Saccharomyces cerevisiae S288C: one gene and its partners. Changing the gene in region 1 together with any one later gene gives a genetic interaction. Each region holds a gene or a part of one and is shown in the gene's direction. Other genes may lie near its edges. The genes, in order: ARV1, OPI3, ERG3 and ARE1.

What was found.
Region 2: mutations in ARV1 (region 1) and OPI3 together harm fitness more than expected from each alone (negative genetic interaction), as found in Saccharomyces cerevisiae (5 studies listed by BioGRID).
Region 3: mutations in ARV1 (region 1) and ERG3 together harm fitness more than expected from each alone (negative genetic interaction), as found in Saccharomyces cerevisiae (5 studies listed by BioGRID).
Region 4: mutations in ARV1 (region 1) and ARE1 together harm fitness more than expected from each alone (negative genetic interaction), as found in Saccharomyces cerevisiae (5 studies listed by BioGRID, with this or other methods).

What each region holds. Positions count from the first base shown.
Region 1 is NC_001144.5:621,637-629,436, reverse strand, and holds ARV1 (sterol homeostasis protein ARV1), read left to right. Parts: upstream 1-5,553; coding exon 5,554-6,519; downstream 6,520-7,800. Other genes in the region: E3 ubiquitin-protein ligase IRC20, read left to right, coding at 1-753; palmitoyltransferase ERF2, read right to left, coding at 1,240-2,319; CDD1 (cytidine deaminase), read left to right, coding at 2,507-2,935; methionine aminopeptidase MAP1, read left to right, coding at 3,106-4,269; putative signal sequence-binding GTPase GPN3, read right to left, coding at 4,416-5,234; CSC1 (Csc1p), read right to left, coding at 6,616-7,800. UniProt on the Saccharomyces cerevisiae protein: Mediator of sterol homeostasis involved in sterol uptake, trafficking and distribution into membranes. Also regulates the sphingolipid metabolism. Required for growth during anaerobiosis and sterol uptake.
Region 2 is NC_001142.9:567,317-574,774, reverse strand, and holds OPI3 (bifunctional phosphatidyl-N-methylethanolamine N-methyltransferase/phosphatidyl-N-dimethylethanolamine N-methyltransferase), read left to right. Parts: upstream 1-1,839; coding exon 1,840-2,460; downstream 2,461-7,458. Other genes in the region: HOC1 (alpha-1,6-mannosyltransferase), read right to left, coding at 1-794; Ran GTPase-binding protein MOG1, read right to left, coding at 1,024-1,680; GTPase NPA3, read left to right, coding at 2,651-3,808; LIA1 (deoxyhypusine monooxygenase), read left to right, coding at 4,177-5,154; nucleoside triphosphate pyrophosphohydrolase HAM1, read left to right, coding at 5,376-5,969; RFC2 (replication factor C subunit 2), read right to left, coding at 6,071-7,132; YAE1 (Yae1p), read left to right, coding at 7,331-7,458. UniProt on the Saccharomyces cerevisiae protein: Catalyzes the second two steps of the methylation pathway of phosphatidylcholine biosynthesis, the SAM-dependent methylation of phosphatidylmonomethylethanolamine (PMME) to phosphatidyldimethylethanolamine (PDME) and of PDME to phosphatidylcholine (PC).
Region 3 is NC_001144.5:252,082-259,956, forward strand, and holds ERG3 (C-5 sterol desaturase), read left to right. Parts: upstream 1-1,779; coding exon 1,780-2,877; downstream 2,878-7,875. Other genes in the region: SAGA complex subunit SPT8, read right to left, coding at 1-999; putative mannosidase MNL2, read left to right, coding at 3,225-5,774; glycine hydroxymethyltransferase SHM2, read right to left, coding at 5,911-7,320; REX2 (Rex2p), read right to left, coding at 7,657-7,875. UniProt on the Saccharomyces cerevisiae protein: C-5 sterol desaturase; part of the third module of ergosterol biosynthesis pathway that includes the late steps of the pathway. ERG3 catalyzes the introduction of a C-5 double bond in the B ring to produce 5-dehydroepisterol.
Region 4 is NC_001135.5:208,875-217,254, forward strand, and holds ARE1 (sterol acyltransferase), read left to right. Parts: upstream 1-3,054; coding exon 3,055-4,887; downstream 4,888-8,380. Other genes in the region: RRT12 (Rrt12p), read right to left, coding at 1-736; mitochondrial 54S ribosomal protein bL19m IMG1, read right to left, coding at 1,040-1,549; BUD23 (18S rRNA (guanine1575-N7)-methyltransferase), read right to left, coding at 1,844-2,671; YCR050C (uncharacterized protein), read right to left, coding at 4,590-4,898; YCR051W (uncharacterized protein), read left to right, coding at 5,197-5,865; RSC6 (Rsc6p), read left to right, coding at 6,120-7,571; threonine synthase THR4, read left to right, coding at 7,823-8,380. UniProt on the Saccharomyces cerevisiae protein: Sterol O-acyltransferase that catalyzes the formation of stery esters.

The sequences.
Region 1 (7,800 bases):
GAGGGCGCCGATTCGTCTCAAGATAATTCAAATGAAAACTCGATTATATCCAATATGAGTGAAGTAGAAAAATTATTCGGAAATAAATACGAGCAATTCCATCAAATTAATGAAGTCCATCAAATTCACATAAAGGAAAGTTTTGGTGCTAAGATTGATTTCGTCATCAAGTTAATATCTTACCTGAGGCTAAAAAGTGAGCAGGAAAACGCTGATCCGCCACAAGTTATTCTATACTCTCAAAAGACAGAATATTTAAAGGTCATTGGTAAGGTATTAAAGTTGTATCACATTGAACACTTGGCATGTCTATCTAATACAGCCAATGTTGGCGAAACTATAAATAACTTCAAACGCCAGCCTTCCGTCACTTGCCTACTTTTGAATGTGAAAACTTTAGGTGCCGGCCTGAATTTGATAAATGCAAAACATATTTTCCTACTAGATCCTATCCTTAATAATAGTGATGAATTACAAGCTATGGGAAGGAATAATCGTATAGGACAAGATGAAGAAACTTTTGTGTGGAATTTCATGATCAGAAATACCGTTGAAGAAAACATCCTCAGATATAAATGTATACTCGAAGAGCGCAAAAGAAAGGAGAAGTCAAAAAAAGGCGATAAATACGACGAAGCACAAGATGAAACGGATAATGAGGAAAGCGATGATGCGAAGTTTGAGATAAGCGTGGTAGACCAAGAAGTCAGTAATGAACACTTATGGAACTGCTTTTTTCACGGTAGTGATTAGAGAAGTATGACTTTTAAACCAGACACTAATATATTAAAATATTTAATCTTTTGAATTTTTATATAAACGGTTGCCGTAATTACTATATATATATTCAATGGTAGGAAAAAAAGATGCTGCACGTTGTCTGACATCTGAAGAAGAGTGCTAATATGTAGCTTCAAAATTTTCGGAAGGCAAAAATAATGGTTGCTAAGAGATTCGAACTCTTGCATCTTACGATACCTGAGTATTCCTACAGTTAACTGCAGTCAAGATATTTTCTTGAATCAGGCGCCTTAGACCGCTCGGCCAAACAACCACTTATTTGTTGTAAAAGTTATACGAAAAGAACCTTTTAATGAATGTTTTTTTTAACATTCTAGCCAATTTCCAACGTTTATTTGCGTATACTCAACCTATACTATGGCGGAATTCACTCCTTTCAGTAACCTTTTTATATTTTACGTACTACTGTGTCGCTGAGTTCTTTATATCTATACTTCCTTATATTTTCTGTATTTTTTCAAAGCTGTGTGCTGGCGATAAATCCATAAATCTCCAATCTCCAGCTTCATGTGGCTTTCTGGCACTTACAAAGCTTGGGCCCCTTGGTTCTAACATCAAGTGACCCATATTTTTCAAAAAGGACCCCTTATTATATATGTTTTCCTCCTTGACCACACGATGGAATACAGGGTTTTTTTTCGATCCAATACCTTTCAAAAATTCCCTTGTTGTTTGCTGATTACCTGCCATAAATATGTGATAAGTAAACAGTATTGCCGGATACCATAAGGTTAGCCCTGCATAGCAAAGTAACAATATTGCAACGGGACAATCGCGAGGCCCCCCTGATTCCCGTGCAATATGGATGGCACAATTAGTTAATAATATGACGGACGAAAGTATTGCACCTAACAGGAATATTAAAAAGAACCGGTAGTTCCTTTTTCCTATGCAATTATTGACCCATATGCAATGGTGGTCATGAACCATTACGCAGACGTTACATGTGGAACAGTGAGAAGACCGAGGTGGTCTCCATATCCTACATGATGGACAATACTTGATAGTAATGTCTTTTGAAATTGAAGAATGTGTTGGTAGTGTTATCAAGTTGTAATATTCTTGCGGGATCTGATAATTATTTCTTAGTTGACTTAAATGAATATTTCTCGGAAGAACGCCAGGATCACTAGTGGCTGTTCTGATAAAGGATGCTAGCGTTATGACCCAAAAATAATAGAAGAAAATGACCAGCACTTTATAACCATTTTGGGTATGCCACAATTTGTGAGCCTCAAATATGGAGAAGAGAACCATGGGACATACAATAGCAAGGAGAACACCTAACCACAACGGTTTGGCGCCCTTTACTGTCCTGAACCTGCCACCAAGGAAGAATATATAATTCGAGACATTCGGTAACGATATATAACCTTTTCCATCGTTTATATCCTGATCACCCTCCAAGGTAACAAGCCATCGGAAGAACAACTTCGTCAATGAACCTTCTCCTGTATGCTCTTCCTTTGTTATTGAGGTGCTTTCCGATCTTGTCGACCTTCTAGAGACCAAGGCCATTATCTTCCCCGTTTCTCTTCTTGTTACCTTACGCTTTCTTTCCTTTACATTTTTATATTTGCAAACTGTAATCTTGATAAGGCGCTGCTCGCCAATTTCCGAGTAGTTTGACAAAATAAACACAAACTGTTTATGTACAAGAAACTAGGAAAACCAAACAGAGAATCTCAAGCAGAGAAATAAGGTAATGAAAGTAGGTGGCATAGAAGACAGACAACTGGAAGCCTTAAAAAGGGCGGCACTGAAGGCGTGTGAACTCTCCTATAGCCCCTATTCTCACTTCCGTGTCGGTTGTTCCATATTAACAAATAACGATGTTATCTTCACTGGTGCTAATGTCGAGAATGCAAGCTACAGTAATTGTATATGTGCAGAACGATCTGCTATGATACAAGTTCTAATGGCAGGCCATCGCTCAGGATGGAAATGCATGGTCATTTGTGGCGATTCTGAGGACCAGTGTGTTTCCCCTTGCGGCGTTTGCAGGCAGTTTATCAATGAATTTGTGGTCAAGGACTTTCCAATAGTCATGCTTAATTCCACAGGTTCTCGTTCTAAAGTCATGACAATGGGAGAACTGCTGCCCATGGCTTTTGGTCCATCTCATTTAAACTAGCAGCAATCTTTATTTGGCTGCTCCCCGAAAAGAAAGCGAAAATTTTTTACTTATTTTTTTTTTTTTTCATTTTTCATATAAAGAAGAAAAACTGATATTATTATTATTCATCCCAAGAACGCTATTGTGTATATTCCTAGCAAGAAAAAAATAAGCAAAAAAATTGTATAATGAGCACTGCAACTACAACAGTTACTACCTCCGATCAGGCTTCTCATCCTACCAAGATATATTGCTCCGGTTTGCAATGTGGTAGAGAAACTTCGTCCCAAATGAAATGCCCTGTTTGTCTAAAACAAGGCATCGTTTCCATTTTCTGCGACACAAGCTGTTATGAAAACAACTACAAAGCTCACAAAGCTTTGCACAATGCTAAGGACGGCTTGGAAGGTGCTTATGATCCTTTCCCAAAATTCAAATATTCTGGTAAAGTGAAGGCTTCATATCCACTTACCCCAAGAAGGTATGTCCCTGAAGATATTCCTAAACCGGACTGGGCCGCTAATGGGCTACCAGTCAGTGAACAAAGAAATGATAGACTTAACAACATCCCTATATACAAGAAAGATCAAATTAAGAAGATTAGAAAGGCATGTATGTTGGGTAGAGAAGTTCTTGATATTGCCGCTGCCCATGTCAGACCAGGCATCACTACAGATGAATTAGATGAAATCGTCCACAATGAAACAATTAAGAGAGGTGCCTACCCTTCCCCTCTTAATTATTACAACTTTCCTAAATCGCTTTGTACCTCTGTCAATGAAGTTATTTGTCACGGTGTGCCCGATAAAACTGTCTTGAAGGAAGGTGATATTGTCAATTTAGATGTTTCCTTATACTACCAAGGTTATCATGCAGACTTGAATGAGACATATTATGTCGGCGAAAACATTTCTAAGGAAGCTCTTAATACTACTGAGACCTCAAGAGAATGTTTGAAACTAGCCATTAAAATGTGTAAGCCAGGTACCACCTTCCAAGAGTTAGGTGATCATATTGAAAAACACGCTACCGAAAATAAGTGCAGTGTAGTAAGAACTTATTGTGGACATGGTGTTGGTGAATTTTTCCATTGTTCCCCAAATATTCCCCACTACGCCAAGAATAGAACACCTGGTGTTATGAAACCAGGTATGGTTTTCACCATCGAACCTATGATTAATGAAGGTACTTGGAAGGATATGACCTGGCCTGATGACTGGACTTCTACCACCCAAGACGGTAAACTGAGTGCTCAATTTGAACATACACTGTTGGTTACCGAACATGGTGTTGAAATCCTAACAGCCAGGAATAAGAAATCACCAGGTGGCCCAAGACAGAGAATTAAATAGATCTAGGTATTTTTATCTTATACATATAGAAACCAATAAAAAACTTGAACTTGTACTTTCCCGAGTCCGAATTGGTTATTATGAGAAGCTATTTTTTTTTTTTACCTCTTTTTATATGAATCAAGCGTACATAATTTTCTCTATAACTATTCTTCGACATCTATTTGGTCGTTAGGCTCTTTCTGTTCTTGTCCTTCTGCCCATTGTGTTATATCATCGACATACGATAATATGGTTTCTATACTGTCAGGATTATTAGATTCCAAAGGTAAAAATTGAACCATACCGAAATCATCGACGAGGTTGGCTATGCACTGGTTCAGTCTTAGAAATTTAGGGTTGGATGCTTGATTCATTCCTTCCGTTTCCATTAATAACATTGCATCGGGATTCAAAAATCTTTTCAGTTTTTTCTTATTGATGTCGCCTTTTATCAAGTCTAGTTTGCTCAACACATTGATATGGGGTAGTTCCAATAGAATCATCGCAGACATAGCAGATAGTGCACCGCTAAAAAATTTTGAGCTATCTATCACAAATGGCGCTTCCAAAAGATATGTGGCGCAAAGGTTGAAATTCAGTTGTTGAGTTAAATGGCGCACTATGTTCGGTAAGACAGGGATATGCGTGTAGAGTTCAATTTGACCGGGACAGTCAAAGATTAAATATTCATCGTTGAAATCCCCGATCTCTTCGTCAAGCCAGTCTAGATTTTTCAAAAGATATTCGAAGCAATATATTAGCGCACCATTGGGGCCCAAATCCATTTCTTCCATGACATCATCTAAGGAAATTAAATCTCTAATGTCAATAGTAAATTCATACTTGGTAGCTTCTGCGGCAGGGTCTAAATTTACAATATGAGCTCTTCGTCCTACAGTTTGCATATGTGATATAATGGAATTACAAAATGTGCTTTTCCCCGCACCTGCAGGTCCTAATACCATGACACCAACGCGAGACATTTTCCAATGCTGATTACTCTATTTGTACTTGTTAAGTTTTTTTCACGATCAGGATGACTTGCCAACCTCTTAATTATTGATCTTTCTTTTTTGATCTTTCACCTCATCATTTTAGATTTTTTGCAAAATTTTTCTTAGTATTTTTTCAGTTTAGGGACAGCGGGCCAAATTGAATAGCCCTATGTGAACAATTGATGATTCAGAAACATCAATGGCATAAATCAAGCTGAGAAATTCTTGTCATTGCATAGAAGGAAGGTTTGGTGCGTCAGTGAACGGATGAAGCGCATCAAAAAGTAGATATTAGCTGTGATAAACGATGATTTGCATAACGTGCATGCGGCCCGTAGATTCCCTTTATACAGTGTACTCGAATGACCACATTCAGCTGACAGATTGTCCATATTGCCAAGAGACAGTAGACAAATATGTTGAGATAGATAATGTCCTGTTATTCATTGATTTGCTTCTATTAAAAGCAGGTGCATATAGACACTTGGTATTCAATGCTTTGGAATTGCATCTCTCAAAATATCCGAAAAGAAAAGCGCTAAATGATTGCCAGTGTTTGCGTGACTATACGCAAGCTTTGTTATTTAACGTAAAGAACTGGTTTTGTAAATATGACCGGTTAAATCGCCTTTGGCTTCTACTATTATCATTCGAGATTTATTTAACTTGGGTTACTGAGGAGAGTAAATACATCTACTATTTGAACCGTAACAATAATGATGGTAAGCTCATCATGCTTTCAAAAAAATTACCAGAGAGCTTCAAATGGGACTCGGCAATCATGCGCAATACCATTACAAGTAAAGTGTTTACCTGGAGCCCACCAATACAATATCTTTACTTTGCAAGTTATTGTATTCTTGACGTTTCTTTATTCCACACCTTTACCCAGTATTTCATACTGAAAAAGTTGCATTGGAAGCACTATTCCGTTTCTTCAAAGGATGTCATATCATATACGATCTTATTATCGTACGGTGCCAAAATTTTTCCGATATTGATGTTGATATGGCCTTATGATACTCTAATTTCGATGAGTATCATTAAGTGGGTAGCTAATCTCTATATTATTGAATCGTTGAAGATTGTAACTAATCTTTCCTATTGGAATATCATAAAGATTTTTATAAGTGTGTCTTTATTACGATATTTCATGGTTAAGCCAATACTTATAGTTTTCGTGGCAAAGTTTAACTTTTCAGTTATTAAGAATTTAATACATCAGGAGTTTATACTACTACTACAGAAGTCAGGAACTTATTTATTGTTATAAGCAAATAAAAAAATATCCAGTATTACTTGTATCAAAAATCTTATTTTGGCATTTTCACAACAAAATATATAAATATAGAAATAGCACCTTGGGATTTCAATCCAACATCGGACCCTCTAATTCACTCACAGCGTAAGGGTATGCATACGACTCTTCCTCATTGGCAGAATTCACCGTAGAATTGTCTCTTTCGTACTCGCGAATTGAACTCAATGCGATATATTTTGACAACGGCAAATAGTTCTTCTCGAAATCATATAGGAAACATAATGTCACTACTGGAAGCGGGAAAAGGCAAGATGACAAAACCCATCCTCCTTCGAATCCTGCCAGTGTTCCTGTCATTGTTAATTGAAACAATAGCAATCCAACGATGATTCTTCTAAAAATTAATGGCCATACTTTTCCTGTAGAATGGGGCAAATGATCTGTGGCAAAAATCAATTGATATTTATAGACGTAAAACCCAATAATAAAGTACGCCAGCCCTGAAGTCAAAATTTTCGTGCTCATTACACTGTAGATCAACGTTATAATCAAAATCAGAATTGGCTGTGGTAATTGTAGTCCAAAGTTAAATATCGGTGGATTGTAAAGTTCATTCCGTTGCCTAGGTGTCTTAGCCTTGATTTTCACTAGAGGAAAGCCGATCAAACTACCAACTAATAACAACTTAAACGGGAACATACCAATACCTTGCAATATAATCAAATCGACATAGAATAAGGAGAACTCCTTCACAGATGTAGCAAGTTGATAAGCAATTTTGGTGGTATCGCTGAGGTACGCCCAGTAATTAGATGCTGTACCTGCCAATGTGAAAACTAAGAAAAGGTTGACAAAAATATAAAAGAAATTTTTTGAAACAAGTGAGATTTCCTCTTCGCTGTATGATACCAATCCTTGATAAGAAGTCAAATACTCGTAAAAATAGGGGATTCCAAAGTTAAGCAATGTGAAGAGATAGGTTGGTAATAGCCCCGTTACAATGTTAGCGGCCCACTGGTGATCTTTTAGTAGCTGCCCTACGCTTGGCCAGAATTTCGAAAGTGTTTTCAAATTTAGCAATGTGGCTAAGTATGATACAGGAATGACTAAAAACAAACTTGAAAGGCCTATAAATACGGTAGTAGAATAAACTTTTGTTAACCGGTCCTTTCTAGAAAGACAAACATGATCCCACTTGATATCGTGAGGTGCAGGAGCCAATCTGGTTATGAAGTAATGTACTCTAGGATCTAATACCGCCTGAGCTGCCATTTGCGCATTAGCAACAGAATC
Region 2 (7,458 bases), on another chromosome or scaffold:
GTACCAAACTGAAGTCTTCTGATATACTTGGTTCTCCAGTCAGCTCTTTGAGCGTCTTCCTCAACTCCAACTATCAACCCAATGTCGGATGGCGACAACTCTTCAGGAATCCAGTTTGGAATTGGCTGAACAGGGAACGTGTCGATGTCAGCATAAACACCTCCATGAACTAACAGTATTAAGTATTTGAAAAAATCTATCTTTAGGATGATGGAGGGCAGAGCTTCGTAAGTCTCTAGGATTTCCGGTATGGAGTAGAAGTAGTGGTGTACTAGTGCGTTTATCACGTCATGGTTCAACACTTCGTGCGCAAAGCCCGGATTCTTGCTTTCCCACATGCCCTTTATATCTTGAACACGCTCGGGACCTTCATCATTGGACCAAGTTTGCCAAATAAATGCTGGGAACTTGACATGGGAATCGTAGGGGAAAGTCATAGCTATGCGTTCTCTTAGGGTGGCCTCCGGAGGTGTTTGTTTCAAGTCTTGGATTTTTTTTTCCAGGATCTTACGTTGTTTATCAAATTGCTTTGCTTGAACTTCCTGTTGGTGTCTGATCTCCTGAGCCAAACTCTCAAAATGTTGAACTAGATCAGAATCCGAACTCTGAATATTGTTGGCACTATTAATGCTTTGGGAAATCTCTTTGGGCAAGTTCTGCAGAATTTTTTGTAAATCAGTAGCATTAGAATTGTGAAATAGGTATCTAACTCCAAATGCTAATGAGATGAGGGCTATTATGGCGAATATCATCAACCTCCTGAAACTGGAGGCTCTTTTTGTTGTTTTGGCCATCGTTAACCGCTACAGTCTATATATCTATCTGCTGTCTTCCGAGTAGAGTGCCTCTTCTCTGCAAGAATACGTGCAAAATGGAAAGAGAGGAATGTTCATTATGGTCACTGTTATTTTTTCACTTTCTTCGCTGCTGGGAAATTTCGTTATACTTATCGGAAAAAACATGTAATACGCTATATAGTAGAAATAAAAAGGTAATATAAACATAAGGTTAAAATTTGAAAGATTAAGCAAACAGCGACGTGTCCACAACGTGAAACTTCCGTACCATTTCTTGCAACAATTGGTAAACAGCATGACATCTTGCAGGCAACTCTTTGTTGCTTGCTTGCGACGCCTCCTCCTTTGTCAAAGGTACATTAATGGAGATGACCACATCCGTGTCAAACTGGGTTAATCTGATCAACGCTACGCCGATGACAACGGTCTGTGCCAGATCTGGTTTTCCCCACTTATTTGCTACTTCCATAACGAGTCCGGTGAACTTGGTTCCTTGCTGAACAGTGTCTTCTTGTAAAGCTTCCCATTTGGTGGTCCCGTTCAACTCCGTCAGGTCTTCCACGTGGAACTGCCAAGCCTCCTTCAGATCGCTCTTGTCGACCGTCTCCAAGAGATCCACGATAATGCTTTCATTGGTGGCTAGTCCATCTTCGAATTCTTCTTCATCGCGACGGGAATTGACGTACACCTCCTGTGTATCGGGGACTTCTCTTAGAGTAGAAGCGTCTATAAACCCAGGTGGGACGACAGTAGTGATGGCGCCGCCGTATAATTCGACTTCCTTGTTGTTCATGCTTCCTTGATGACCAGGGTAGGTGTCAATGAGAGTGCATGTGGAAAGTTGCACCGGTTGTGAAATATGAGAAGCCTTTTCAATCTTCATATGCAAACCCACACATGCATCGTTGGTTTCTGTCCACTGCCACTGCAATGACCACTGGATAAGGGGTCTTTATAAGAGAACACATATGAAGAACATGAACGTTCTTGGACAGAGCCATAAACAGCAATTGAAGACAACAAGAATAGCGCAAGTCAAGCGATGAAGGAGTCAGTCCAAGAGATCATCCAGCAACTCATCCACAGTGTCGATTTACAGTCTTCCAAGTTCCAGCTGGCCATTGTGTGCACGATGTTCAATCCTATCTTTTGGAACATCGTTGCAAGAATGGAATACCACAAGCATTCTCTCACCAAGATGTGTGGTGGGGCCAGAAAGGGCTGTTACATGTTGGCGGCGACCATATTTTCGCTAGGTATCGTCAGAGACATGGTGTACGAGTCTGCATTGCGTGAACAGCCTACGTGTTCTCTGATCACGGGCGAGAACTGGACCAAGCTGGGTGTGGCTCTCTTTGGTTTGGGGCAAGTGCTTGTTTTGAGTTCCATGTACAAGCTGGGTATCACAGGGACGTACTTGGGTGACTATTTCGGCATCCTGATGGATGAGAGAGTCACCGGCTTCCCCTTCAACGTTTCCAACAACCCCATGTACCAGGGTTCCACTTTGTCCTTCTTGGGCATAGCCCTTTACAAAGGAAAGCCTGCGGGGCTGGTTGTTTCTGCCGTAGTTTACTTCATGTACAAGATCGCTCTTCGTTGGGAAGAACCTTTTACTGCCATGATCTACGCTAACCGTGATAAGGCCAAAAAGAATATGTAAGTGCTCTATTTCTATATATTCTATAATGTTAGAAGCCTATGCTATTACCGTTTCTATATAGCTCCATAAGCAATTTCTTCGCGAAAGTGAAAAAAAAAAATTTTAATGCGATGCTCTATTTAACAAGGAATACAATGAGAGCATCTAGCGCACACAAACAACTACAAAACGCAATAACGACACAGCAAGAATGAGTCTCAGCACAATCATATGTATTGGTATGGCCGGATCCGGTAAAACAACTTTCATGCAAAGGTTAAACTCCCACTTGCGGGCAGAGAAAACGCCACCATACGTAATCAATCTTGATCCTGCAGTATTGAGAGTCCCCTATGGTGCAAACATCGATATCAGAGACTCAATCAAATACAAGAAAGTGATGGAGAATTACCAGCTAGGTCCGAACGGTGCCATTGTCACCAGTTTGAATTTGTTCAGCACCAAGATTGATCAAGTTATTAGGTTGGTGGAACAGAAGAAGGACAAGTTCCAAAACTGCATCATCGACACTCCAGGCCAAATCGAATGTTTTGTGTGGAGTGCGTCGGGTGCCATTATCACGGAATCTTTTGCCTCCAGCTTTCCCACAGTGATTGCATATATCGTGGATACGCCTAGAAACTCATCCCCAACTACATTCATGAGTAACATGCTGTACGCCTGCTCCATTCTGTATAAGACCAAACTTCCCATGATTGTCGTTTTCAACAAGACCGACGTGTGCAAGGCAGATTTTGCTAAGGAATGGATGACGGATTTTGAGAGTTTCCAAGCAGCAATCAAGGAAGATCAAGACTTGAATGGTGACAATGGGCTGGGCTCCGGGTACATGAGCTCATTGGTCAATTCTATGTCACTGATGCTTGAAGAATTCTATTCCCAGCTAGACGTCGTGGGCGTTTCCAGTTTTACCGGAGACGGATTCGACGAATTTATGCAATGCGTAGACAAGAAAGTTGATGAATACGACCAATACTATAAGCAAGAACGTGAAAAAGCATTGAACCTAAAAAAGAAAAAGGAAGAGATGAGAAAGCAAAAATCATTGAATGGCCTGATGAAGGATCTAGGGTTAAACGAGAAGAGCAGCGCTGCAGCCAGCGACAACGACAGCATAGATGCCATTAGCGACCTCGAAGAGGATGCCAATGATGGTCTTGTGGATAGGGATGAGGACGAAGGCGTTGAGAGAGAATACACGTTCCCAGGCGAAGAAAGAACAAAAGGTGAGGTCAACGAGAACTCTGCTCCAGACCTACAAAGGAGATATCAGGAAGCTATGCAACAAGTAGGGAAAACGGCCAGTAGCGAGACTGCAGAAAATATCGCGAAGTATATTAGAAACTAAATAACTACGTATAGTCCTTTGGTTCGGCGATCATTCGACCCGCAGAGAAAAAAAAAGACAATGGAATTGCAAAGACGAACGTCAGATAAACTCCCACGTTTATTATCTTTTGAACAATAGAGGTAATCCTTCCACAGAAATCCCTGTAGAATGCAGTGAGAAACAAGAAAAAAAAAAAATTTTTTTTTTTTCTCTATCCTGCGTGGGAGGAAAGAAAATTTTTCTCGATGAGCTGAAAAGTTTTTATCATATAAATTACATAAGGCAAATCCAGTGAATACACGTGTATATTTGACGGTAGCTCTAGGTTTAGGTTAGGATAAACTGTAGTCCTTCTAACATACCACGCAAGAAAGAAAAAAAAAAACATGTCTACTAACTTTGAAAAACATTTCCAAGAAAACGTCGATGAATGCACTCTAGAGCAACTAAGGGACATCTTAGTCAACAAGTCCGGCAAAACAGTTTTGGCCAACAGATTTAGAGCTCTGTTCAACTTAAAGACTGTTGCTGAAGAATTTGCCACTAAGCCAGAGGAAGCCAAAAAGGCCATCGAATACATTGCCGAATCCTTCGTCAATGACAAGTCTGAGTTGTTGAAGCACGAAGTGGCCTACGTGTTGGGTCAAACCAAGAACTTGGACGCTGCTCCAACTTTAAGACACGTTATGTTAGATCAAAATCAAGAACCAATGGTGAGACACGAAGCCGCTGAGGCTTTGGGTGCCCTAGGTGACAAGGATTCGTTGGATGACCTAAATAAGGCTGCTAAGGAGGATCCACACGTTGCTGTGAGAGAAACCTGTGAACTGGCCATTAACAGAATCAACTGGACCCATGGAGGTGCCAAGGATAAGGAAAACTTGCAACAATCCCTATACTCGAGTATTGACCCAGCCCCACCTCTACCATTAGAAAAGGATGCTACCATCCCAGAACTACAGGCCTTATTGAATGATCCTAAGCAACCTTTGTTCCAAAGATACAGAGCCATGTTCAGACTGAGAGATATCGGTACTGATGAAGCAATCCTGGCCTTGGCCACTGGTTTCAGTGCAGAATCCTCCCTTTTCAAGCATGAAATCGCCTACGTCTTCGGTCAAATAGGTAGTCCGGCTGCTGTCCCAAGTTTGATTGAAGTTTTGGGCAGAAAGGAAGAAGCTCCAATGGTTAGGCATGAAGCTGCTGAAGCCTTGGGTGCCATTGCTTCTCCAGAAGTTGTCGACGTCTTGAAATCTTACCTCAACGATGAAGTCGATGTCGTCAGAGAATCTTGTATCGTTGCGCTAGATATGTATGATTACGAAAACAGCAACGAACTAGAATATGCTCCAACTGCTAATTAGAAGAATCAGCATCATCAATAATGATAGTAACAATAATCATTGTATAATCTTGTATTTTATACTTTTCAAAACCCGCCATTTCCGTTATATATACAAATGTATCAAATAGCAAAAAAATTATTTATTTTCGAAACCGTTCTCTCGAGCTTCAGCTTTCAACACTGGTCTTCAAAGCATAGGAAACACTCACATAGAGATATCTAAAAACGAACGATAGCAGAATGAGCAACAACGAAATTGTATTTGTCACTGGCAATGCCAACAAGTTAAAGGAAGTGCAGTCGATTTTGACTCAAGAGGTCGACAACAACAACAAAACCATCCACTTAATCAATGAGGCCTTAGACCTGGAAGAATTGCAGGACACGGATCTGAATGCCATTGCGTTAGCTAAGGGAAAGCAAGCTGTTGCGGCCTTGGGTAAGGGTAAGCCAGTGTTTGTGGAAGACACTGCGTTGAGATTTGACGAATTTAACGGTCTACCAGGTGCTTATATAAAATGGTTTTTAAAGAGCATGGGATTGGAAAAAATTGTGAAAATGTTGGAACCCTTTGAAAATAAAAACGCTGAAGCAGTTACCACCATTTGTTTTGCTGATTCTCGGGGTGAATATCACTTCTTTCAAGGTATTACAAGAGGCAAGATCGTTCCAAGCCGGGGACCCACTACATTCGGCTGGGATTCAATTTTTGAACCTTTTGATAGTCATGGACTGACTTACGCAGAGATGAGCAAAGACGCAAAGAATGCTATTTCTCATCGTGGTAAAGCCTTCGCTCAGTTTAAAGAGTACTTGTATCAAAATGACTTTTAGGTGATGTGCTGAGAAGATAAGAGGAATTATGGATAGATTTTTTTTTTTTTATTCTTACTTTATGTCGCCTCTATATTCAATTATATAAAGATGCCTGTATATTAGAGTTGGGATATTTTAACCAATAAGTTTAATAATTGGATGTGCTCGTTCGTTCCGTTGTTTAATCTGGAATCCGTAGTAAACAGCAACCAAGATATTTGATTTTTGAAGTTCGTATCAAAGTTATCGTTGGTGATGTAATATTCATGTAGTTGGTTAACTACTGACGCAGCAGACCAACCGCTTTTCATAAACGTATTGACGTATTTCTTAATCTCATCAAAATCACCACTTTTGACTTTTTCAACAATTTCTATTAGAATGTCATGAGGTACCACACCAGCTAATTCTTCCACTTGGGTAGAAGTTATGTTTTTACCATCACCCAAGTATTGCGCCCCCTTGGAAGCGGATTGTAATAATGTAATGCCTCTTCTCAAGTCACCTGCCGAAATGTCCAAGATCCTTTCCAAAACTCCATCATCACATTTAACATTTTCTTGTTCGCTGATAAACCTCAAACGGTCAATGGCATTACTTGCGTCTAGGGCTTTGAATCTAAATTTGGAACAACGGGACGCTAGCGGGTCAATAATTCTTGTCACATAATTACAAATCAAACAGAATCTTGTTACTCCTGAATAGGTTTCCATTGTTCTACGTAATGCACTCTGTGCATCGGCAGTCATTGAATCGGCCTCATCGAGAATAATGATCTTATACGGTGGGCACGGATAGTTCTCCAAGTCATGTTTGCTAGGCTTGGATACAGTCAATCTTGCAAAATTTTTTACCTTTTCTCTTACAATAGAGATACCACGTTCGTCAGAAGCGTTCAACTCCAATATTCTTGATTTCATCAAGTCGGGTCCATATAATTCTTTTGTTAGCGCTAAAATGGTAGACGTTTTACCAGTTCCTGGGGGACCATAAAACAACATATGTGGTAGATTAGCTGACTTTAAGGTTTTCTTCAAAACAGTAACGGCATGATCTTGAGCTGTCACTTCATCTAGGTTTTTGGGCCTGTATTTCTCAACCCAGGGTTGTTGTGCCAATGATTGCTCTGCGGCTAACTTTGATATCTTACGCTTTTTATTTGGACCAAACCCTTCAAACATCTCAAGTGATTGCCAATACTTTCCCCCAGTATTTCTCGCTGTCTCTCTATTTTACTTCTCTTATAGCATTGACTTGTTCGCTTGAGTTACTTCCTGATTGCTTTGAAATACGCGAAGTAAAAGAGTGAAAAATAACGATGAGAAAGGTTTTTGATAGAAGAGAACAAAAAAGGAACAGTGTTACAATAGTATATAGAGATGTCGAATACTTGGGACGATGTATGGGCATCAGACAGTGATGTCGAAACTGAACGATCTCCAGATTTAGTGAAGTTAAGAGAGAATCATAGCAAGAGGGGGTACTTGGACGGAATAGTGAGTTCTAA
Region 3 (7,875 bases), 370 kb from region 1:
TTCCAAAAGACGCTTATCCCAGGAACCACTCAAAAACCTGTCCTCTTGACCGTTTAATCTCAGTATGTTAACGATTTGGGTATGTCCATTCCTGCCCTTAAAATAGTGCGCAATGCTCCCCTCCATGTAGCGAACGCCCTGCATGGTAATCCCACCATTCTGTAGCCCGCTCAGTATAAAGAGGCATTCGCTTTGGACTTCCAAAGAATGAACGGGGCTAACTTTGGGCTCGTAATCTGTCTTATTAGCGGAGAGTTTCATTTCTGATTTTTTCTGCGGGATCTCATTTTCCCAGTACGACTGCAAGATACCCGCGTTCTGAATAGACTCAGCCAACGAATGCTTCTGCAGGATAGTTAGAGAAAGTTTCCCCTCAAGCGTGTTCAGCAAGTCGTACTTCCTTATGTATCCATCGCTACCGCCCAAAAACAGGTACTTGAGACCCCTGGACACGGCCAACGCATTGACGTGCGTCTGGATGGGTATGGCTGCCGTGGGGTAGATATTGTACGAATCCGCAATCTGTGCGGCATTCAACATGTGCTTATAGTACTCATAAACCTCTCCATTAGCAGAGGCTTCGTGTGTAGAGGAAGATGCTTCCCTGGACCCCACTCCTCCATCAACATCGCTCAATTTCACATCCTCGGATCCAATCTTAGTAACAGCATCGCCACTATCGCCTGCACCGCCAGCACCAGCAGCAGCAGCCTTTTGCTCATCATGCTGGTGCTCATTCGTCGGTGTAGCAGTCTTATCCATTCTTGCGGCGTCGTCCTCACCATCGTCGTCCTCCTGTTCATCGTCGTCCTCTCGTTCGTCCTCGTCATCATCATCGTCCTCATCATCATCATCGTCATCCTCTTCATCTTCACCACCGTCATCATTCCCCTCGAGGTCCTGCTTTGAGTCGTTTTCCAGCCCACTCAGCATCTCTTCGTCATCCTCCTCGTCATCCACCACCTGGTTGTTAATTAGAATATCGTCAACCTCGTCCATTACGTAAAAGAAGAAAAAAAAAAAAACTGAGCCTTTAGTACACTACAGTTACTGCTACAGCCTTTTACAGCCCAGCATCTGGCACCACTACGCTATAATATATGATGCGTCTATTATGCTAGAATCCTTCCTGAAAGGGCATTCTGGAAGCCCTACGTACAGAGTGACAATATATTAGGGCATCCATAAAAATAGATTAGGGCAGCTCTGCCATTTTTTTCATAGCCGAAAGAAGAAAAACTGAAAAAAAAAATGATACGAAAAAACCGCGAAACGACGCCTTTTGTTGCGATTGTCGGGCATCGCAAGTTACGACGCGTTGTCCCTTGCATCGCTGCCGTGTGGCACGACCCACTGCGGCCTAAACGACCGAGATCGGTGCCCGGGGCAGACCACCCGAAAACTCCCGGGCATTATTTCGGTCGTTTAGTTGCGCCCCAGGGCAACCGGGGTGTATACGAGGCCGATGGCTGCGATAAACGAAAAATTCAGGCTCGTATAAGTGGCACAATAGAAGGTGAAGAAGAACAGCAGGTGCATTGAAACAAGAGGTTCAGCAGCGATCGGGTATTGTTGTTGCTGCTATTATGTAACGGTCGAAAGAAACATCGCGGTATATATTAGAGGCGGATTTCTATCTTTCTTATCAATTCGTTTTTTCATTCACTTGTTCATTCATTCTTTACATTTGTCTTGTTCTTTGAAGTGGTTGCAGAGGAGGTCAGTTTGTTGCATTTGTAAAAAAAGATAATAAGAAAAATATTCGTCTAGATTTGAGATATGGATTTGGTCTTAGAAGTCGCTGACCATTATGTCTTAGACGACTTGTACGCTAAAGTTCTGCCCGCTTCGTTGGCAGCTAATATTCCTGTCAAGTGGCAGAAATTGCTAGGGTTGAACAGTGGGTTCAGCAATTCTACGATTTTGCAGGAGACTTTGAACTCCAAGAATGCCGTCAAAGAATGTAGAAGGTTCTACGGGCAGGTGCCATTCCTGTTTGATATGTCGACGACGTCTTTTGCATCGCTATTGCCTCGTTCCAGCATCTTGAGAGAATTCCTCTCACTATGGGTTATTGTTACGATCTTTGGTTTACTACTTTACTTATTCACGGCTAGTCTCAGCTACGTGTTTGTGTTTGACAAGTCGATTTTCAACCATCCTCGTTACTTGAAAAACCAAATGGCAATGGAAATCAAGTTGGCAGTCAGTGCTATCCCATGGATGTCGATGTTGACCGTTCCATGGTTTGTTATGGAATTGAACGGCCATTCTAAACTATACATGAAGATTGATTATGAAAACCACGGTGTAAGGAAGCTCATTATCGAGTACTTCACTTTCATCTTTTTCACTGATTGCGGTGTGTATTTAGCGCACAGATGGTTGCATTGGCCAAGGGTCTACCGTGCTCTGCACAAGCCTCATCACAAGTGGCTGGTCTGCACACCTTTCGCATCTCATTCTTTCCATCCTGTAGACGGGTTTTTGCAATCCATCTCGTACCACATCTACCCATTGATTCTGCCATTACACAAGGTTTCTTATTTGATTCTGTTCACTTTTGTTAACTTTTGGACTGTTATGATTCATGACGGTCAATACCTATCAAACAATCCTGCCGTCAACGGTACTGCCTGCCACACGGTTCACCATCTATATTTCAACTACAACTACGGTCAATTCACCACTCTGTGGGACAGACTAGGGGGTTCTTACCGTAGACCAGATGACTCATTGTTTGATCCTAAGTTAAGAGATGCTAAGGAGACCTGGGACGCTCAAGTTAAGGAAGTTGAACATTTCATCAAGGAGGTCGAAGGTGATGATAATGATAGAATCTATGAAAACGACCCAAATACCAAGAAGAACAACTGAATACGGTTGCCTTGTTTGTCTCATCTTTTTTCTTTCTTTCACGTTCAAGAACTTTCACACAACGAATAACGTTTATATATTTATATACACATACATGTTTTAAGATACGCATATCATTATGATGTACACCTCACGTTAGTGCAATATGCGCTATTCGTATATTAAATTTTTGCGTTCATTTAATGGCTCTTTTTCCTATTCTAGTGAAAAAAAAAACAGAAAATCGAAGAGCTGGAAAATTTAAGAACAGGCAAATAGGAAGCTGGAAGCTTTAAAATGCCCAAGATTTCGGTGAAGCGCAAGTGTTAACTAGAAAAAGGCCGCCACTACTCTATAAGCAAAACCTTATGTCCATAGCGCGATTAGTATACTCTCTTTTCAGAAGAGTACGATCGGTTCTCTTACTTTTCATTACCATATCGCTATTGTTTTACTATACGTTCCAGAATGAAATCGATATCTTGAATTCGTACGCTTTAAACGACTCACTACCGTCCATAAACAACTATGAGCACAATACAGAAGGTTCTTCGAAACTGGATCCTCCAGACCTATCGTCAACCGGTTCTGACCGAATAGCCACCGACAAGGAAAATGGCAACGTTGCAGTGGATTTGTCAGATCCAGCTACATTGAGAGAAAAAAACAAGTACTTTCCCTTGCTGTTAAAGGGATCGTCTCACCAGATTGGTTCGAATTTACCAATTTCGTCTCTTTTGACATATAAGGAAAAGTATCCCGTCTTGTTCGAATACTCATCACCTTCCTTAACTTCTATAAGCCAGAATGACGTTCATAAGATACAGCCGGCAATGCAATTGCCACCAGATGTTGATATGATAAAACAGATAAAGGACATTTTCATGAAATCATGGAACCAAGAGCAGTTGCTGCTGAAAAGTAACCTCAGAAGGGAATCTACTTGGCCCATAGATCTAATTGATTCTCTAGATACATTGTATCTATGTGGCGAGACGAAACTTTTTCAAGATTCTGTTAATATAATAGAAGATTTTGACTTTCGAGTACCTCCGTTAGCAATGGAAGTTATTGATATTCCTGACATCACTACCCGTGTCCTAGAAGGGTTACTGTCTGCATACGAATTATCTATGGATAAACGATTACTTAACAAAGCAAAACATGTTGCAGATTTCATATTAAGATCATTTGATACCCCTAATAGAATTCCTATTTTGAAATATTTTTGGAAATCTGATCTGAGAAATCGATTTCCAGACCGTACTGTTCCATCAGGTCAATTGACTACTATGGCACTCGCGTTTATCAGATTGTCACAGTTAACCCGTTTGAATAAGTATTTTGATGCTGTTGAAAGAGTTTTCACCACTATACGTCAATCATATAACGAATTTGATATGGAGTTTATGCTGCCTGACGTCGTTGATGCCTCTGGTTGCCAGTTATTAACTCAAGAGGAAATTGAGAATGGTGCACACCTAAAGGGATCCAGCATCATGAAAAGTATCAATGAAAATTTCAAGTTCGTACACTGTCAGCAGTTAGGGAAATTCTTAAATCCTCCAATAGATGATAATAGCCTCCAAGAACAATCTCAATACCAGGCTTATAGAATTAATGAAAAAACAGTACCCATTCTAGAAAATCTATTCAAAATCAATGACCTCTTCCAATCTTCTTATGATATCCTGGACGGCTCAAGTAAAAATGCTAATGCTGCAACGATGGACCCCAGTATTGGTTCAGAGGTAGAAGCAGTCGACGAAATAATTGAGAAAAGAAACTTTAAAGACGGTACTAAAAAAGATTCGACAAAAAACACCGTAGGTGATAAATCATTAATAGACTCGCAAACGTTTTTAACAAATTCCATCAGTAACATTTTTAAATTCATGACTTTTCGACCCATGTTGCCCAAGCAAACGGAAAACAAAAAGTTTAATTTTCTGAATTCCATTCTAACAAAATCTCAATTCATGCCCACGACTAATGAGCTAGATGTCACGATAAGAAAATCTTACGATGTCTCGTTATACTCATGCAGACTTGGCGGCATTCTAGGTTTAAGTTCACGTGTTCCCCACCGAGGCGGTGTCAACACGAAATATATTTTACCATCGTCACTATTGGAAATGAGCGAAATAATAACAGAAAGTTGTTTTATGCTAATGGAGGAGTTCGACGGGCTGCTCCCTCAAAAATTCGAGTTGGACCCTTGCACTGATGAGACTAATGGGAATTGCGAGTTTAACGGCGAAACTAAATCACGAATGATTGCCAACGGCGAATATGAAACTTTTGAAAATGACCTAGATGTCGGGATCAAAGTTTCGAATTATGGGAAAGGTGGGAATGACCAGAAAGCTAAGAGAAATGTACTAAGCAAAGATGGGATAACAGAGACTCAAAACATAAAAGGTGATACTGTTGGAAGCTCGAAATCGATTGCTGAAATAGACGGCGACGAAGTAACGCAAATACGTAGAGTTTTTACGCTTGGTAAGGATATCAAACCGCATATTACAACGGACGATACCATGGGTTCTCAGTGGAAAAACCATCCAGACTGGCCATTTTGGGTCAACAAGGTAGAATCCAGAAGATTGTTGGATTCGAATATCATTGAATCTATATTTTATATGTACAGAATCAGTGGAGAACAAAAATGGAGAAGCATGGGTAAGCAGTCTTTTGGAATCTTAATGCAAGAATTAATGGAACTAAACAGTGGTGCCAAAGGATTGTGGCAAATAAAGGAATTTTATGAAAACGGTGAAAAAGTGAACAATGATTTACCTAGCTATTGGTTCTCCAGAACATTAAAATACTATTTGCTACTATTCAGCGATGGTGACAAGGTTTCCCTGGACAAACACATCTTAACTCAAGGAGGGCACATAATCAAAAAGAAATGAAGTTAACGTTAGAAAAATCGTACGCACATACATACATACATATAGGTACATATATACATAATGAGAAGAGGAGAAAATGAATACTTATACAGTAATGTTTATTTTTTTGGGATTAAGTGTCGTTGTGGTGATTTCTTTACACAGCCAATGGGTATTCGCCAGCCCAGTCGTAAATTTCCTTTTTCCAGGTGTTCAAAACATCAGAGCCTTCGTCGACCTTGGCTTTGAAGTCCTTTAATCTACAAGCATCCTTTGGCAAGCTTTGTTGAACTTGTTGAGCGAATTCTACAGCCTTGTTAATGTATTGAACAATTCTGTGGAAATCTTCTTCACCCATTCCTCTAGTGGTCATGGCTGGAGCCCCAATACGGACACCACCTGGAACCAAAGCAGATTTGTCACCTGGAATAGAGTTTTTGTTCAAAGCAATGTTAATCTTTTCACAAATGTATTCAACACGAGCACCATCAACACCCTTTTCTCTCAAGGATACTAGAACCATGTGAGAATCGGTACCGTTGGAAACTAATCTGTAGCCCAAGTTCTTAAATTCACTTTCCAAAGCCTTAGCATTCTTCAAGACTTGAGTTTGGTATTCCTTGAATTCTGGAGTGGCAGCTTGCTTCAAAGCAGTGGCCAAAGCAGCAATGGTATGGTTGTGTGGACCACCTTGGTGACCTGGGAAAACAGAGAAGTTAATTGGGTTTTCCAAGTCGTATAGAACTTCCTTACCGGTCTTAGGGTTGATAGATCTCACACCTCTTCTGAAGAAAATCATAGCACCACGTGGACCTCTCAAAGACTTGTGAGTGGTGGTGGTAACGATATCAGCGTATTCGAAAGGAGATGGGATGACACCTGCGGCGATCAAACCAGAAATGTGGGCCATGTCTACCATCAAGTAAGCACCACATTTGTCGGCGATTTCTCTCATTCTCTTGTAGTCAATTAAACGACAGTATGCTGAAGTACCAGCAACAAGAACCTTTGGTCTATATAGGATGGCGTTCTTTTCTAAAGTATCGTAGTCGATAATACCGGTTTCTGGGTTAACTCTGTATGGGAAAGATTCGAAGTATGTGGAAACAGCAGAAATTTTTCTGTTTTCAGTAGCGTAACCGTGAGACAAATGACCACCATCTGGTAGGTATAGACCCATCAATCTTTCATGAGGCTTCATAATAGCTTGATAAACCTGCAAGTTAGCAGGAGAACCAGATAAAGTTTGGACGTTAACACCCCATTTGTCTGGAGTAACATGGAAAGCTTTCAAAGCTCTTTGTTGACATAGAATTTCCATTCTGTCAATGTGTTCATTACCACCGTAGTAACGAGCACCTGGATAACCTTCAGAGTATTTGTTGGACAATGGAGTTCCAAGGGCATCGAAAACGGAGGTTGAGGTGAAATTTTCAGAAGCAATCAAATCGATGGAGTGCTTTTGTCTTTCAATTTCATCCTTGATAATGGAGTCCACTTCAGGGTCGGTGTCCACCAAATGAGAGGTGATCAACTTATGATGAGCGTCGGATAGAGTGTAAGGCATGTTAAGGAGGATTCGGTTTAAGCTGTTATGCTTTGCTATGGGGTAGTATCTTTCGTAAAGGTTACACTAGAAGAAGGAAAGATTACTGAACGCAAACTAAGGGAAGCAAGTTCTGCATTATATATAAAACAAGATGAAGAAGACTCATGGTTCGGTCTAAGATGATTATGAATTTAAAAATTATACAGAGTAAAAAGCGAACATGAGAAACCCAAGAGATAGAGTCAAACCTTTATGGTCAAAGCAACCTGAAAGGGTCATTTCTCACCAGGAGTCATGTTTCGTGTGTGAAATATTTGAAAAATTTCACTTCTTTTTTCTTTTTTTTTTTCTACATTAAAAATCGGTGCGTTGTCTTTTCAAAGATGAGGTAGATGAAGATGGTGACTCCGGCTGTTCAGATCCGATTGACTCGACCGACTCTGTTTCCTGTGGTGGCTTCAAGTAGTTGTCCATGTACCATTGCAATTGAGCTATGCTCTCTTTGATATCACTATAAGCAGTGTGGGCAGCTTCTTTTTTTGGATTACGTGCTTGTAAAGCGGGATTGTGTCT
Region 4 (8,380 bases), on another chromosome or scaffold:
CACTAAGAACGTTACTGGCCTCGCCAGACCCGTCTTTGCCCAAGACTTTGACCTCCACAAGATTGACCCTCTTTGCCGCTCCATACGTTTTGGAACCTACGAGTCCCGCCACGTGCGTTCCGTGGCCATTCTGGTCGCCAAACCCTTCTTTGGTCAAGTCAATCCCCTGGATGACTCTGTCTTCGAATTCCGGATGGTCCGCGAAGATACCCGTATCCATGATATAGGCGTTGACGTCTTGACCTTGATAGTCGTGTTCATAGTAGTAATTGAACCAGCTTTTGTAGCGGTCCTTGTCCCCAACGTCGAATGGGAGTTGGTAGTGGCGGGAAATCCGGGCCAAGTGACGGGGTGCGTCTGGTTGATACGTTATATTTTGCTCTTCCTCGACGTCTTCGTACGAGTATTTGGCGGTAGCGTTAAACGTATAACTCGACTCGGCGCTATTTACACTGTCGCCTTCAAAAGCTTCGAACCTGAAGTTGGGCACAATATCAGCCACCAGTGGGCTTTTCTTCAGCTTGTTCACTAAGTTCTTGGACAGGTTCATGGTCACGCCGCGGAAGGATCCGATGGAGAATTTCTTCTCAATTTTGTTGTCGATGAACTGTCTCCATGACCTGTTGGAATTCGAAGTGAATTGTTGGAATGCTGTGGGATTTTTGAACCTCACCAAATACTCCTCTGCGTATGCGAGGTTGACCAGCAAAGAGATGAGTATGCACTGTGGCTTCATGACCAGTGTTTTTTTGCTGTTTTTCTTGGCGGATGTTAGAGGATGTCTAGCACTTGAGTATACCTCTATATGCTGTGTAAAATAGAAAATAAAAAAGCCAATGAGAACAATATTTTGTGTCGTTTTTTTTATTTTCGCTTCAATTCTCTATACACGTACGTCATCACTACGGGAAACCAAAAAAAAAAAAAAGAAAACAGTACAAAAAGGTTTACTTTACCCATAGTTAGTATACGTAGATTTTATACACGCACTATTTTTCTTATATACAGGAGATGGGTGGCCACAGAACCCGCGCCTAGCCTATTTCTTTCTTCTTAGACCTGCCTCGAGGTCGCCGACATCCAACCTTGTACCTCTGATGTAGTAGTGTTTGTTTCTTTGTCTGCTCGAGACGTGGGGGGTTAGCAAGTCGATTCTCTCGATCAGCGGCGAAAACAATGGCACTCTAATCTCGACGGCCGTCTTGGCTATCTGGTTCCGCAACAGCAACGAGGCGTCTTGCACCAGTTGTTTGCGGTCTATGGAAAGGATGTAGCCAACAAAGGTGTCGTACGAGCACTTGGACGAGTCGTACACAATCCGGACCACGTCGCCTGCCTTCAAGCGGTCCTTGTTCTTTTTACTGATGAGCTTCCTCTTAACGGCCCCGGGATCCAGAGACTCTATTTCTGAGAGGGCCACCTGCTTCATAATCTGCGACGAAGCTATGCGCTGCACAGGTGGGTACACGGGGATGGTTTTTCTCTTGGTGGCGGGGACCATGTAGGACCTTGTCCATGATCCAAGCAATCTGACGTTCCTGCTCCACATCGCTATGGTTCTCTCTCCCTTTCAGCAGCTGCTCAGAGGGAAGACTCGATTCTTCTTCTTCTTCTTTACTGGGAGTTCCAAAGCACCAAAATTGAAAACCAAGAAAAAAAGGAAAATACATCACTACATAAAAGTGCGCGGAGCCATTGACCACTCACATACAGATATAAGTGTATATATACAAGTATACATATACAAGTATACATGTAGAAGGAGACAGAGACAGAGGGAAATGTATAAGTGTGTATTTTTATAGTATACAAAAGAATATGCGTGTGAGGATGTGTGTTTCTTCTAGAACCTGTGTCTTCTTTTCCTCCCGGTGAACTTGGAGTCCTTCGCAACTTTCCTCCCACGTCTTTTCATGAGCTCCTTCTTTCTTAGAATGAAACTCTTGGCAGACTCCTTGTCTTTGCCTCCCTTCAAGCGCTGGCGCAGTTGTTTCTTCAAGTTGACGTTCTCCTCGTCCATGGTCACACCGTCCAAATTCACCTGCTCCTCCCCCTGCGGTGGGGCCCCACTGCTCAACACAAGGTAGTACTTCTTATTCTTTTTAGACTCTGGGTCGTCCACCACAAGCCCGCCACTGAACCCTGCCACCTTGGCAGACTGCAGTATGTCGTCCACCTGGTCGTCGTTTTTCGGGTAGAACTGGGCCACAAATTTCCCTCCCTTCTTCAGTGCAGCATACAATGTGTTGAAAAACCTCATCAACCGCTGTTTAGGATCGTTGTATGAAGTGTCCGCATTGCACAGCCATTGGATCGCACTGATACTAATAGCCGCGTCAAACGAGCCCGCCCGGAACGGTATCCCGGTGCCCATATCCTGCAACATCAAGTCGCCCTCCAGCTCTCTACTAAGACCGGTCGCAAGCATGCTGGGCGATATATCCAAACCACACCACACATGGTCTCCCTCCTGCGTCAAAATCTCCCCAGACAGTCCGGACCCGCACCCGATATCCAGAATGAAACTGCACGGCTGCAGATTCAAAAGCTCCAACGCCCTCAGCGTCATCTTCGCCTGGATATGCTGCACTCTGGTCGAACCCGTGTACTTGTGTGCTTCGCTATCATTATAGAAAATCTCCGGTGGTGCCAACTCCTCAGGACGTGACATTATTTCTTCTCTGATATATTTCCTGTGTTTCCGTACCGCACCTTTTTAGCACTACTTTTTTACTATGCTCTTCTTCTTCTGCTTCTTCTGCTTTTTTCCTCTTTATCACACTATGTATGTGCTGCTCATCTCTTCTTTTTATCGATAAAATTGAAAAATGTGAGATGGTGTAGAGTGAAAAAAAAAAAAAAATCTGGCTTGGCCATCAAATACCCGGCCGTGGTTGGACTCGTTTAGCGAACAATAGCACCCAGCAGACCCTGGCAACATGCGGATGATATAAGAAGGACGAGCGTGGTGGAGGAAAGGGGCGCCATTGGCACACTCACGCAGGTGGTTGTTCAGCACGGCTTGCAGCAAGAGCGCCAAAACAGATTGCAAGAATGACGGAGACTAAGGATTTGTTGCAAGACGAAGAGTTTCTTAAGATCCGCAGACTCAATTCCGCAGAAGCCAACAAACGGCATTCGGTCACGTACGATAACGTGATCCTGCCACAGGAGTCCATGGAGGTTTCGCCACGGTCGTCTACCACGTCGCTGGTGGAGCCAGTGGAGTCGACTGAAGGAGTGGAGTCGACTGAGGCGGAACGTGTGGCAGGGAAGCAGGAGCAGGAGGAGGAGTACCCTGTGGACGCCCACATGCAAAAGTACCTTTCACACCTGAAGAGCAAGTCTCGGTCGAGGTTCCACCGAAAGGATGCTAGCAAGTATGTGTCGTTTTTTGGGGACGTGAGTTTTGATCCTCGCCCCACGCTCCTGGACAGCGCCATCAACGTGCCCTTCCAGACGACTTTCAAAGGTCCGGTGCTGGAGAAACAGCTCAAAAATTTACAGTTGACAAAGACCAAGACCAAGGCCACGGTGAAGACTACGGTGAAGACTACGGAGAAAACGGACAAGGCAGATGCCCCCCCAGGAGAAAAACTGGAGTCGAACTTTTCAGGGATCTACGTGTTCGCATGGATGTTCTTGGGCTGGATAGCCATCAGGTGCTGCACAGATTACTATGCGTCGTACGGCAGTGCATGGAATAAGCTGGAAATCGTGCAGTACATGACAACGGACTTGTTCACGATCGCAATGTTGGACTTGGCAATGTTCCTGTGCACTTTCTTCGTGGTTTTCGTGCACTGGCTGGTGAAAAAGCGGATCATCAACTGGAAGTGGACTGGGTTCGTTGCAGTGAGCATCTTCGAGTTGGCTTTCATCCCCGTGACGTTCCCCATTTACGTCTACTACTTTGATTTCAACTGGGTCACGAGAATCTTCCTGTTCCTGCACTCCGTGGTGTTTGTTATGAAGAGCCACTCGTTTGCCTTTTACAACGGGTATCTTTGGGACATAAAGCAGGAACTCGAGTACTCTTCCAAACAGTTGCAAAAATACAAGGAATCTTTGTCCCCAGAGACCCGCGAGATTCTGCAAAAAAGTTGCGACTTTTGCCTTTTCGAATTGAACTACCAGACCAAGGATAACGACTTCCCCAACAACATCAGTTGCAGCAATTTCTTCATGTTCTGTTTGTTCCCCGTCCTCGTGTACCAGATCAACTACCCAAGAACGTCGCGCATCAGATGGAGGTATGTGTTGGAGAAGGTGTGCGCCATCATTGGCACCATCTTCCTCATGATGGTCACGGCACAGTTCTTCATGCACCCGGTGGCCATGCGCTGTATCCAGTTCCACAACACGCCCACCTTCGGCGGCTGGATCCCCGCCACGCAAGAGTGGTTCCACCTGCTCTTCGACATGATTCCGGGCTTCACTGTTCTGTACATGCTCACGTTTTACATGATATGGGACGCTTTATTGAATTGCGTGGCGGAGTTGACCAGGTTTGCGGACAGATATTTCTACGGCGACTGGTGGAATTGCGTTTCGTTTGAAGAGTTTAGCAGAATCTGGAACGTCCCCGTTCACAAATTTTTACTAAGACACGTGTACCACAGCTCCATGGGCGCATTGCATTTGAGCAAGAGCCAAGCTACATTATTTACTTTTTTCTTGAGTGCCGTGTTCCACGAAATGGCCATGTTCGCCATTTTCAGAAGGGTTAGAGGATATCTGTTCATGTTCCAACTGTCGCAGTTTGTGTGGACTGCTTTGAGCAACACCAAGTTTCTACGGGCAAGACCGCAGTTGTCCAACGTTGTCTTTTCGTTTGGTGTCTGTTCAGGGCCCAGTATCATTATGACGTTGTACCTGACCTTATGAACTGCCACCATACCACGTGTGTCCCTCGCAAGCCCTTGATAGATATACAATAGGGAATGGGCGTCCGCTCCACCGTGGTCAAAGACAGGGGCAAAGAGCTCCTAGGTCTATATATATATCTATATACATATTTATATATATTATTAGAACTTTACAATATAGTATATACCATTCATTGTTTAAGTTTCGGGTAATACTTTTTTTTTCCTTGTCATAACCCCAAAAATTTTCGATGCCTTTGATATAATTGAGAACAAGAAGAGTTTGCAGGTGACAAAAATCGATGATTATAGGTGTTGTGACGACAAAATGAACGCTAATATATGGGTGGCTGCTTCAGATGGTAATTTGGACCGAGTGGAACATATCCTCCGCGAGAGTAAAGGCGCCATGACCCCGCAATCCAAGGACATTAACGGCTACACTCCAATGCATGCTGCCGCCGCATACGGCCACCTGGATTTGCTGAAGAAAATGTGCAATGAGTACAATGGAGACATTAATGTGTTGGACAACGACGGCGATACCCCGTTGCACCATGTGGAGGATGTGGCCACTGCCAGGTTGATCGTGGAAGAGCTGGGTGGAGACTTCACTATCAGGAATGTGGAGGGCCAAACGCCATACGACTCGTTCGTCGAGAACGGTGAAGATGGTGAGCTAATCGAGTACATGAGGATTAAGTCCGGCGTGGCCGATGTTCACGGAGTGGACGGCGTGCAGGGTGAGGGTGTCATCGACAGCAAATTGCTGGAAGAGTTCAAGGACAACGTGAGATACACCTTGGAAAATGACCCTGAGGAAGGAGCCGATGAGGCCACTCTGCAACGCAGGAGGCAGTTGGAACAGATCATTACGGGAGACAACGCTGAGGAGGAGTTGGAAAGGTACATCCGTGCTATGGTCAGAGAGCAGATGCTGGGCCAGGGCTCCATGGCGGGTTCCGGGGACGAACCAGATTCCAAGAGAAGAAAATAACGACCCAGCACAAAGGCTCTTACAGCTTGCTAAAAGAAATTGAACGCGACGCTACATGAACTACTTCTTTCTCTTACATAGTCTTTTCCCTTATGTATCTTTTCTGTACATTAATAGACGTTCTTACAAGGTAAAATTTCACCGCGTTTTTAAATAGAATGAAAAAAACGTTGTAGAGTGAAAGAAAAGCAACAAATATACAGTTCACAAGGCAGCTTCGTATAGTAATACAGCACGAAAAACAGCTCATAGAAATGGTAACACAGACCAATCCGGTCCCTGTTACATATCCAACGGATGCTTATATCCCCACGTATCTGCCCGATGATAAGGTCTCCAATCTGGCAGATTTGAAAAAATTGATAGAAATGGATTCCAGACTAGATTTGTATCTGACAAGAAGGAGGCTGGATACGTCCATCAATTTACCTACAAACACCAAGACCAAGGACCATCCCCCCAATAAAGAGATGCTGAGGATTTACGTCTACAACACTACGGAAAGCAGCCCTCGCAGCGATTCTGGCACCCCAGCGGACTCAGGCAAGACTACATGGACACTGAGAATAGAAGGTAAGCTTCTGCACGAGTCCGCAAACGGAAAGCACCCATTTAGTGAGTTTTTGGAAGGTGTCGCGGTCGACTTTAAAAGACTGAAACCGCTGGGCATGGGCAAGAAGAGGAAACGCGATTCGTCATTGAGCCTTCCTTTGAATCTGCAACAACCCGAATACAATGATCAAGATAGCACCATGGGCGATAACGACAACGGCGAGGATGAGGACAGTGCAGAGGCAGAATCCAGGGAGGAAATTGTAGACGCACTGGAATGGAACTACGATGAAAACAACGTTGTGGAGTTTGATGGTATCGACATCAAGAGGCAAGGCAAGGATAATTTGCGATGCAGTATAACCATCCAGTTGAGGGGTGTCGACGGTGGAAAAGTACAGTACTCGCCCAACTTAGCTACCTTGATAGGTATGCAAACGGGCTCCGTTAATGACGCGGTTTATTCGATCTACAAGTACATTTTGATCAACAATCTGTTTGTTACGGAACAAACAGAGGCTCAAGATGGTTCCAACGATGCCGAAGACAGCAGTAACGAGAATAACAATAAAAACGGTGCTGGTGACGATGATGGCGTCGAGGGAAGTACTCCAAAGGATAAGCCCGAATTGGGTGAAGTGAAGCTAGATTCACTCTTACAAAAGGTATTGGATACAAACGCCGCGCACCTCCCCTTGATGAATGTTGTGCAAACCGTGAACAAACTGGTATCACCCCTACCGCCCATCATCCTAGATTATACAATTGATCTTTCCAAAGATACCACCTATGGTGCTACCACCTTGGATGTAGATGTGTCGCACATTCTCCACCAGCCTCAACCCCAGCCAAATTTACAAAAAGAGGAAGAAACAGATGCTGAAGACACAGCAAAACTACGTGAAATCACAAAGCTTGCCTTGCAGTTGAACTCTAGTGCTCAAAAATACCAGTTTTTCCACGAACTGTCTTTGCATCCAAGAGAAACGCTGACTCACTACTTATGGTCTTCCAAGCAAAACGAGCTTGTGCTGCAGGGCGACCAATACTTCAATGAAGATGCTGCAAGAACGAGTGACATATACAGTAACAACAACAATGACAGGTCACTAATGGGCAATATCTCACTACTGTACTCCCAAGGAAGACTATAACATCACTGTATGATCTCATTCTTTCTGCAATTATTGCACGCCTCCTCGTGAGTAGTGACCGTGCGAACAAAAGAGTCATTACAACGAGGAAATAGAAGAAAATGAAAAATTTTCGACAAAATGTATAGTCATTTCTATCAATAACGTATACACGTTTTTTTAATACTATCTATATTGTGTATCTTATATTTTTCCATTTGGTAGTATAGCAGCAAATATTTGTTCTTAGACGGCCACCATCCCTCACACCAATGCCTAACGCTTCCCAAGTTTACAGATCTACCAGATCCAGCTCTCCAAAGACAATCTCTTTTGAAGAGGCTATCATTCAAGGTCTGGCCACTGACGGTGGTCTTTTCATTCCACCAACTATTCCACAAGTGGACCAAGCCACTCTTTTCAATGATTGGTCAAAGCTCTCCTTCCAAGACTTAGCCTTTGCTATCATGAGACTATACATTGCCCAAGAAGAGATTCCAGATGCTGATCTAAAGGACTTGATCAAGAGATCTTATTCTACTTTCCGTTCTGATGAAGTCACCCCCTTGGTGCAAAACGTCACTGGTGACAAGGAGAATTTGCACATTTTAGAATTATTCCACGGTCCTACCTACGCTTTCAAAGACGTTGCTTTACAATTTGTCGGTAATCTTTTTGAATACTTCTTACAAAGAACCAACGCCAATTTACCTGAAGGCGAGAAAAAGCAAATCACTGTGGTCGGTGCTACTTCCGGTGACACTGGTTCTGCAGCCATCTACGGTTTAAGAGGCAAAAAGGACGTTTCCGTTTTCATCTTATATCCAACC